Linked DNA regions of Danio rerio. The protein of the gene in region 1 interacts with the protein of each later gene in a pairwise test. Links are inferred from orthologs where the notes say so. Each region holds a gene or a part of one and is shown in the gene's direction. Other genes may lie near its edges. The genes, in order: itsn1, kif5aa and cyth1b.

Region 1 (2,507 bases):
TAGTTGTCTCAAAATACAACATCTGAACTTCTGAACGATGCCGTTAGGTGTGGTAACCATTGTATAAGCTGAATCGATTGAGTTATTAGAATATAATGCACACTTGAGATTTTAACAGCTTCTCTGCATCACCATCTCAGGTGTACAATCGTTTTCTCCTTATATAAGCACTCAGATACTAGATCACCTGATGTGTGTCCGGTGTCTGTGCAGGTAAGAGTAACCCGTACTGTGAGGTGACGATGGGCTCTCAGTGTCACGTCACCAAGACCCTTCAGGACACTCTGAACCCCAAGTGGAACTCAAACTGCCAGTTCTTCATCAAAGACCTGGAGCAGGACGTGCTGTGTGTCACTGTGTTTGAGAGGGATCAGTTCTCCCCGGACGGTCAGTAAACTCCAACATAAATCTAAATGAATTAAATAAACTAACAAATAAAAAATGTGCAATTTATTTAAAAAGGAAAAAAAAAAGTAGTGTTTCGCAATATTGCACTGTTTACTGTATTTCTAGATTTTAAATAAATGCAGCTTTAAACAACAACAAAAAATTGAAAATTATACTTGTATTTTTCATTCTCAATACCATTTCTCGTTATTTTCCCCTTCTTGTTAGATTTCTTGGGCAGGACGGAGATTCGGCTGGCCGACATCAAGAAGGACCAGGGCTCGAAGGGTCCCATCACCAAGCGTCTGCTTTTACACGAAGTCCCGACGGGAGAGATTGTGGTGCGACTGGACCTGCAGCTCTTCGATGAACCCTGAGCGCATTATTTAACCTGACCTTTTCGACCCCACAGATACCACATCCCTCATTCCTCCGTGGTGAAGCCCACCAGCCTAATGTGACAATCCCCCAGCGTCATAAATCCCAGTGCGTGAATGTGTGTGTATCCGCACAAGCGTCTGTGAGTCCGCTAAATGCTGTAACAGTCTTACCGAGTGATCCTGACTGGATTTTTTATTGTCCATTTTAAGACAAGTCAAGTGTGTGTGCGCAAATGAAAACAGGACGTGCTGTAGAGCCGTGTGTGATGGATGCTGTAAGTCTTAAAGAGTCGTTTTAATGAGCTCTAATGAACAGTAGTGCCATTTGACACAATATTCTTAAAAGCTCTTGATTTTAGAATATACAGAATTATTCTAGAACAGGGGTGTCCAAGCTCTGTCCTGTTAGTTTAGCTTCCTTTAACACACCTGCCTAGAAGTTTCTAGTACACCTAGAAAGAGCTTGATTAGCTGGCTCAGGTGTGTTTAATTGGGGTTGAAACTAAAATATGCAGGACACCGGCCCTCCAGGACCGAGTTTGGACACCCCTGTTCTTGAATAACGACACGTTCCAAATCATGTGCCATTTCGGTGAATGGGTGAATCTCATGAAAATCTATTACTGTCAATCCAATCGTATACCTGTGAGATTATTATTTAATTATTTATGCTTCATGGTAGTCTGCTCGCTTGTAATTTATATTGATTCATATTTTTTAAAGATGTAATTTATTAAACCTACAGTAATATGAGATGATTATCCTGAAAGCAGGCCTCGTTTTTATTTAATGCAAATATTAAACAGGTTTTCGTAAGATTCACCTTTATTATCGCCGTTCCATCATTTTATTCCATATCTTCAGTTCCTAACACTAAAAACCCAGGTTTTGCTGGCAAACCTCTGTTGTGTTGATCAATATTCATCTATTTTTACTGAAAGACACCGGTGATGGGATGTAGATGTTTTCGAGGGCCCATTAAATGTGAGCAAGTCTCAAGAAATGGTCGCAAACGCTCCATGAAAAGACAGTTTTGATATATATATATATATATATATATATATATATATATATATATATATATATATATATATATATATATATACACGCAAAAGTGAACGAGGAAAGGAACAATGCCCTGTTTGTTTATGTCTTTGCTACTTTTATTTATTGTAGAAATTGAGACCCATCTCAGAGGCCGACAGAAATACCACATCAGGAGCGTTTACCTGTAGGATGTCAAATATACAGCGGGGGAAATAAGTATTGAACGTCACCAATTTTTGGTGGGAGTATTGAACACATGAAGAAGGGAAGGTGTAGAATAGCAGTGAAAGCCCAGACAGCAGCTGAAATCTCACTGTAGTTCTTCAGAAACCTACTGCTCTTTGTCATTGTAAATTAATATTCGCTGCTTCAGTCCAACATCTCAAATCAAATCAGGCCTTTATTTGTCACATACACTTTTGTATAGTGAATTTGAACCCCCATAGTTCACAATTGTACACAAACATCACAATTTTCAGAGGAAAACGGGTCACAGGAGGTAGCATTTAGAAAAACGGAAGTAAGATAAATTTCAGGAGAGGGACTCCCTCTCACCCTGCTCTTGAATTAGGGCAATGTGAGACCAGGGAGAAAAAAAAGCCCAGTAATCCGCACATAAACACACAGTTAAGACATAACATTGCCACAGGGGATGGGAACAGGGGGTGTGGATATAGTCCGATGAGGGCGGGC
Region 2 (3,660 bases), on another chromosome or scaffold:
TAAGAGCAATAAATAAAGATATATAAGAACACAACAGGCGACCAGTTAGCATGCATACATTCAGTAAACTGGCACAAGTTAATACAACCGCAACACAATACAACACACAATACATTTACTTAATATATAAATGGATCAAATGCAACCCTGAACCCCAGAATGGGTTAATTTACTGTGTTTTCAGTCTTACTCTGCTTACCATGATAATAAGCGTTAAAGATTTACTCATCCATTAACATGATTTCTGCAGACCACAACTCCCATGATTCCACACTCAGTCGCAGTCATTAAAATGAATGCACGCCCTCTAGTGGAGACAATTACACACTGTGCCTTCATTTGAATTGTTCATCATATATGCATGTACAAAATATTCATCATTTACCAAAATGACATAAAAAGACAGCAGGAAAATGTATTAAATGGATGTGTTCACTCATTTTCTATTCCGGCTTAGTCCATTTATTATTCTGGGGTCGCCACAGCGAATGAACCGCCAACTCATACAGCTTATGTTTTATGCAGTGGATGCCCTTCCAGCTGCAACCCATTACTGGGAAACATCCATACACACTCATTCACACTCATACACTGCGGACAATCTAGCCTACCCAATTCACCTGTACCGCATGTGTTTGGACTGTGGGGGAAACCGGAGCAAACCTACGCAAAGGCAGGGAGAACATGCAAACTCCACACAGAAACACCAACTGACCCAGCCGAGACTCAAACCAGAGACCTTCTTGCTGTGAGGCGACAGCACTCCCTATTGTGCCACTGCGTCACCCCTAAATAGATGAGTGTGTCAGTTAAATGTCTCTGGTTTGACGATAGTGAATGATTGGCTTTCTCCAGTCTGTATTAAACATGTTAGAACGGCTTCCACACTTTAATCTTCAACTTCTATCTTAAAACTTTAATTTGGCTTTTAATGTGCATCTACTACTGCGGTTTTACTTCTGTTCACAGATTGTGATGTCTGTGTTTCACTTCTTAATTTGCAGTTTTGGTCCGTGTTTAACCCTACTCTAGAATAAACTCAATTTCTTTGGATTACACTAATATAAAACTGCACTTAAAGAAATGTCAGAGTTTCAGAAATCTCACTGACTGTGATGTGCTATCAGGGAAACCTTCACGACCCGCAGCAGATGGGCATCATTCCCCGCATCGCCGAGGACATCTTCAACCACATCTTCTCCATGGATGAAAACCTGGAGTTCCACATCAAGGTACACAGAGATCAGTCGTCCCATCATCCCCGAAACCCAGGACAATAAGCTGCACCAGCCTGAAACTGCAGTTTCAAAGGGACAGTTCAACCAAAAATACACCTTCTGTCATCATTTCTCCATCCTCCACTTGTTCTGAACCAAGTGTTTTTCTTCTGTTGAACACAAAGGAATATACACTGGGAAACAACTGTGTTTTTGTTCCTGCTATGAAAATCATTTTGTCCAGCATCCTTCAGGATATCTTGTCTTGTGTTCAACAGAAGAATAAAACTGTGCTGTTAAAGTTTATTAGCAGTTAAGTGTGAGAAGATTTAGATTTTTGGTTGTAAAATCCCTTTAAGAGTCAAATCAGGTTAATGCTTTATCATTTAGTTCAGTAATAGAGCTTTCTTACATTGGTGATAAATTAAAGCTGGTCTGATGTTAGCTGTGTGTGGTTTCCCTCAGGTCTCCTACTTCGAGATCTACATGGAGAAAATCCGCGATCTTCTGGACGGTTTGTAGAGCACAAAGACAGAACAGCGTGTTAAACTCACTAATGTGATCTTTCTGTTCCTCACTGCCTTTCTTCTCCTCTTCAGTCACAAAGACCAACCTGTCTGTGCATGAGGACAAGAACCGCGTCCCGTACGTGAAGGTGAGCGTGACACCTGCAGCTTCATTACTGTGGGGACTGACTGAAGAGTTGTGTGTCAGCTTCAGGGATTTCATAGTGATGTTAATAGTCAGGAATAGATGCTTCTGTTTGGTCACCATCACTAAAACACTGGAGTTTAGACTGCTTGAATGGCATTCAGGTTCACTGTTTTGCATTAGCTGGGGTTAAAAGAGAAAGAGTCTTCACATGTGCAAGACACGTCTTCTGCTCTGCTATGACAGTGATGATGGAAACTGAAGACATTGTAGTTTCTTTAACCAGCTCAATCAGGATCAGCTGTGTGTGTGTGTGTTAATGCAGTTGTGTTGTGCTCCAGGGCTGCACCGAACGCTTCGTCTCCAGTCCTGAGGAGGTGATGGACGTCATCGATGAGGGAAAGTCCAATCGGCATGTCGCCGTCACCAGTAAGTCATTCAGCCATCAGTAATCAACATAATGGTATTCAGCTCTGTCTGAAAACCTCAAAACAAGACCGATATAAAGGCCCTGTCCACATAAACGCAAGGTATTTTCAAAACCACCATTGTTTTCGATGTGTTTGGCTGTTTGTCCACATGAAAATGCAGTATCAGATGACTGAAAACTAAACTTAATGAAAACAATTCAGTTCAGTTCAATGTTATGTAGATCACACTTAAAAACAACAGAATTGACCAAAGTGCAAACAATCAAGGGTTAAAGCAAAGCAGGAAACTTACTGTCAAAGCTAAACAATACAATTAAATCTAAATAAAATGCTGTGCTCACAGCCAATGACATCAATGTGTGCTGTGTGGGTCTTCCTGATTGGCCAACACAACAGGGTTTACACCAAATGCAAATGAGGCGAGATTTACGCACGTTCACGTTGTTTGCACGGTGGGACGGTAATCCGCTTCTGTTGTCACGTTCATTAACTTGTTTGCAATTTATTTGTGAAAATACGTTTTAATTCCACGTTTGGTGGAAAACGTTTATCGCCCCCTGCTGGTTCGACATGCCCTTAACATGCGTCACATACGTTTTCATGTGGACTAAGATATATTTTAAAATGCAAGTGAAGAAAACTCTGTTATTAAAATATTAAAATCTTTATTAAATAAAAATGACTGTTACGCCCCAAAACTCAAAACTGGCTCGAATAATAACAACATCAAGGTTTGAGCTGAACATATGAAAAGACACAGACGCTAATGTTAATAAATTGACGTCCTGTTAATAATGCTTTAATTTCCAGAAATTAAATATTCCAAAAGAGATGACAAAACATTAACAAAAATCATGTAGACAGGTATGGTAGCTAAGAAAGCTGTTTTAAATGGACAGATCTTACCTACAACTCCCGTTAAAGGAATAAAAAACAGGTGAGTCATCCGGGCCGCTGCTTACCTTCGCTAAACTAAATAAATACCAAAATGTGCCTATGAAAAATACTCCACTACCATACGAAAACAAACAAAGCATCAAAATAAACAAACTAGAAAACACATAGAGAAAACTAAAAGGTTAACAAGAACAAAACTCTAAAGAGTGCGGCATGTAGATGGATCCTGGCCGGCCGCCTGAGCGCAAGCCACCACCAAGCTTAGAGAGACTGAGCCGCCACTGCTGTCAGCCTTATATACTGGGAATCCCCAGTGACATCACGGGCCTCATCCAATCCTGGACAAGCCGTGTAGAAAACTCCACCTACAACTCAAGCGCAGCAAGCAGACACCTGCAACAAATAAATAAATGAATTAAATAAAACACAGACCCGCGTAACAATGAGCCAAAATGAACTTTTGA
Region 3 (4,099 bases), on another chromosome or scaffold:
ATCTTTAGGAAACCACTGAAGGCAATGATATGTTATTATAACGCTATAATGTGGCAATAAGATCGCAACTGTATTGCGCATTACAGTGGCCATATTCGTCTTAACAGATGAAAACAACATTATCATTATAGCAGACACTGTGAAAAGCTCATTCCCATCCACTAGACTTTTCTGACAGGGTATTTGAGTGTCATCGAGTGACAGAATGTTGTGGGACTGCTGTACAGGAGTTAATATTGGAGTTATTATTATGGATTAAAGATAGCGAAATTTGCCGTTTTTTTATTTTATTTATATATATATATATATATATATATATTTTTTTTTTAAAGCATGACGGTAAAACATGAACACGGTTATGAATGTATTAAAACATGTGCTTGTTTGTCGTAAAAATTTGTAGCAATGACAAAAAATGTGCAGCCATGTTGCTGGTGTATTCTGGGAAAAAAATTTTCCCCTTGATTTCGAGTGTGGTCCTGTAAAATCTCCCTTTCGTGAGGTATCTACCCCTTCCCCTTAGCCCTATGCCTTCAAGCTAAAGAGAACTGGGAAACCCCAACCCCTTCACGTTAACATGCAAAAAAAGTGGTAAGGGCTAAGGGGTAGAATTAAAATTGGGCCTATGTGTCAGTTTTGGTTGCCCCTTTGTGATGAGACATGAGTGCTGCCTTAAACTCGAGGTTTCAGTCTTGTGACTGCTAAAGGGTAAAATGAAAAAGAGTACTGTGGTATTAACACATCGCGCAAATGATAGGCTATATTTTTTCAATTGCTTCTATGATGCCCTTGTTTCCCCCACAGTCCAAAGACATGTGCTATAGGTGAATTGAATAAACTAAATTGTCTGTTTGAATTACTGTGTATGGATGTTTCCCAGGTTGCAGCTGCAAGTGCATGCGCTGTGTAAAACATGCTGGGTAAGTTGGTGATTCTTTCCACTGTGTCAATCCCTAATGAATAAAGGGACTAAGCCGAAGGAAAATTAAAGAATGAATTATTGTTTTGTCCCAAAATCTTGATTGCTAAATATACTACTGTTATATATATATACACATATTGTAGATATTTATATCACTACTACTATGTCATTTGTGTTCATATGTTCTATTTATTGTAAACACAAATGCTTTGGCAATACATATGTAACATTTGTCCTGCCAATAATGCAAGTTTGTATTAAACCGAACGTAGAGAGAAAGAGAGTGAGAGAGGAGAGAGAGGGAGGGAGGAGAGAGAATACAAGGAGTGAAGTCAGAGAGATTGTGAGAGCGGCGCTCATCGGTGAAGAGAGCAGTGCTGTGCATCCGAGCTCTTTTGCTCTGGATTTACTGTTGGATACTATTGAAATGAATGATTGAGGCGAGAGTATAAACAGTTGAACAAGTTCTGCTTTCGGACTGAAGAGGAAGTAGCTGGTCTTTTCTCTCTTGGTGCTTAAAGGGACTTACTTCTCACATTCGAACTGTAGGCTTTAAAGTGAATCAGGGATTGTTTAGCGATGGGGACGGTGAGTGAACTCTGCGCGTCCAGCTTTCAGGCGTTTCTGTGTCCTACGGTTCACCCGGCTCCTCCAGCAGGTGGGTTTGGTGTTTGACGTGCATGTGTTTTGGGAGTAATGTGTGTATTAGAAATCTGGGATTTGTTGAGAGATGAGCTCACTTTCACATGTTTGTGCTTTGATTTACAAGGTTAGCTTATGAAGTTAGCAAAGTTTCTTTCACCCAAATAGTTTAAAGGGATAGTTCACCCCAAAATGAAATCTACCCACTATTTAGGCACCCTCAAGTGGTTCAAAACCTGAGTTTCTTTCTTCTGTTGAACAGAAAATAATATATTTTGAAGAAAGCTGAAAAACTTGTAAATATTGACTTCCATAGTAGGAAAACCAAATACCATGTAAGCCAATTGTTTTAGTTTTCCAGCTATATTCATATTATTCAGGGCTTAACATTGGCCTTTTTGATCACCAGCCACTGTGGCTAGTAGATTTCCCAACATTACTAGCCACTCGCCATTTTCACTAGCCATACTTTTGTTATTGGGAAAATATATTTTATATGCATAAATTAGACTTTGACATGATAAAATTACTGTGTGTGTTGTGTATGAGCTTGCTCAGTATGCATGGGCTAATGAGCCGTGTCACATTGCGATTAGTTTTTATTTCACATGACTTTTCAGAGCTCGAAATTAAGTATTTATCAAATTTAGCTATCTCTGATCACACCAAAAATGTATTATTTGGCCACAAATTTTAAATGTGTCAAAACAAGCTAAATATAGCTGTATACATTCATTCATTCATTTTCTTGTCGGCTTAGTCCCTTTATTAATTCGGGGTCGCCACAGCGGAATGAATTGCCAACTTATCTAGCAAGTTTTTACGCAGTGGATGCCCTTCCAGCTGCAACTCATCCCTGGGAAACATCCACACACACATTCACATACACAATCATACAATACAGACAATTTAGCCTACCCAATTCACCTGTACCGCATGTCTTTGGACTGTGGGGGAAACCGGAGCACCCGGAGGAAACCCTCGCGAAGGCAGGGAGAACATGCAAACTTCACAAAGAAACGTCAACTGAGCCGAGGTTCGAACCAGCGACCCAGCACTACCTACTGCGCCACTGCCTCGCCTAGCTGTAAACATGCGCTTTTAATTCAACTAAACATTTCTTTAAAAAAAGACATTTAAAAAAGAACTATTGTCATGTATATCTAAAAAATGCACAGTAATCTGTCATGGCTAATGGTCCCAGATCACCAGTTAACTACACAAAAACAGGGAGTTAATCTCATATTAAAACAATGTTATTTTAAAAAAAAGAAGACAATTTAAACCTTTTAACAAAAATAACCGTAAGCAAAAAGAAAGCAGGTAAAAACATACTGTGAGGGATAATGAAAGGATGATCACGCGCACACGGTTAACGTTAGCCCTGTTAATCTGTTAAAAGAATAATTAAAATGAAAGCAGTGACGGCTGCTGCTTAAAAAAAGATATAGACATATAAATCTCTAGCTCTTGAAAGCAGCAGGACTGTGGGTGCACGATTGCTTTTTGTCCAGTCTATTTCAAAGAGAACCGTTCGCACCAGTTGCGTTTTCTCTAGGCATGGTTGCTTCGTGCAAGTAAACAGGAGTGCGTGCGTTTTTTTACAGTCACTCGCATCACATCACCTCTGCGTGACCGTGATCATTCTCTCATTCGGTATTCACTTGCTTTCTTTTGCTTGCACGAACACAGCTATTTTTGTCAGTTGTGTTGCTTCTCGATTCTAAGATCACATTTGCTTGAATATTGGGCCATCATTATTGTCGAATCCTGCTTTTAAGAAAACTACAATAAAAAAATAAACAGTGGCGCAGTAGGTAGTGCTGTCGCCTCAATGCAAGAAGGTCGCTGGTTCAAACCTCGGCTGGGTCGTTGGCGTTCGTGTGTGGAGTTTGCATGTTCTCCCTGTGTTCGCGTGGGTTTCCTCCGGGTGCTCCGGTTTCCCCCACAGTCCGACATGCAGTACAGGTAGTGTATGAGTGTGTATGGATGTTTCCTAGAAATGGGTTGCGGCTGGAAGGGCATCCGCTGCATGAAACAAGTGCTGGATAAGTTGGCGGTTCATTCCGCTGTGGCGAATGAATCTTCAAATAGCCAAAGTGGCTAGTGGGACTGTCTGTCTAACTCGCCACAGCAGAAATCTACCCGCATTTGGCAGGTGCTAATGTCAAGGCCTGATAATATTCATATTAAAAAACTCCAGCAAGTCTGAAAGTAAATGATGACAACATTTTCAAAATAATGCTTCTTTTTTATTCTACTTCAAAGTTGTTATCAGTTCTCTGGATTTGGCATTGATTAATGAATTGTAACAAAAAAGCTGCCATGTTTATATTCACTTCAGAAAAGTTAAGAAGTTGACGTAAGGAAAAAGGACTTCTTTTTTTAGGAAACTGAAATGGTATACTGTACATATATGTTTATTTACACAATATGGTGATATTCAACTAAACAAAACATTGCAAATGTGTGACCTGGTGGATTTTTACAGGATTTGTTTGACCAAAAAATAAATTTGTGTCATTTCCTTACCCT

The links.
Region 2: the proteins of itsn1 (region 1) and kif5aa interact in a two-hybrid assay, tested with the Homo sapiens proteins (2 studies listed by BioGRID and IntAct). The link is inferred for Danio rerio from reciprocal best matches to the Homo sapiens genes ITSN1 and KIF5A.
Region 3: the proteins of itsn1 (region 1) and cyth1b interact in a two-hybrid assay, tested with the Homo sapiens proteins (2 studies listed by BioGRID and IntAct). The link is inferred for Danio rerio from reciprocal best matches to the Homo sapiens genes ITSN1 and CYTH1.

What each region holds. Positions count from the first base shown.
Region 1 is NC_133176.1:50,305,206-50,307,712, reverse strand, and holds the end of itsn1 (intersectin-1), read left to right. Parts: intron 1-213; coding exon 214-387; intron 388-615; coding exon 616-764; 3' UTR 765-1,882; downstream 1,883-2,507. UniProt on the Homo sapiens protein: Adapter protein that provides a link between the endocytic membrane traffic and the actin assembly machinery. Acts as a guanine nucleotide exchange factor (GEF) for CDC42, and thereby stimulates actin nucleation mediated by WASL and the ARP2/3 complex.
Region 2 is NC_133184.1:242,911-246,570, reverse strand, and holds part of kif5aa (kinesin family member 5Aa), read left to right. Parts: intron 1-1,127; coding exon 1,128-1,232; intron 1,233-1,682; coding exon 1,683-1,731; intron 1,732-1,816; coding exon 1,817-1,872; intron 1,873-2,209; coding exon 2,210-2,297; intron 2,298-3,660. UniProt on the Homo sapiens protein: Microtubule-dependent motor required for slow axonal transport of neurofilament proteins (NFH, NFM and NFL). Can induce formation of neurite-like membrane protrusions in non-neuronal cells in a ZFYVE27-dependent manner.
Region 3 is NC_133187.1:35,985,001-35,989,099, forward strand, and holds the start of cyth1b (cytohesin-1b), read left to right. Parts: upstream 1-1,267; 5' UTR 1,268-1,501; coding exon 1,502-1,580; intron 1,581-4,099. UniProt on the Homo sapiens protein: Promotes guanine-nucleotide exchange on ARF1, ARF5 and ARF6. Promotes the activation of ARF factors through replacement of GDP with GTP.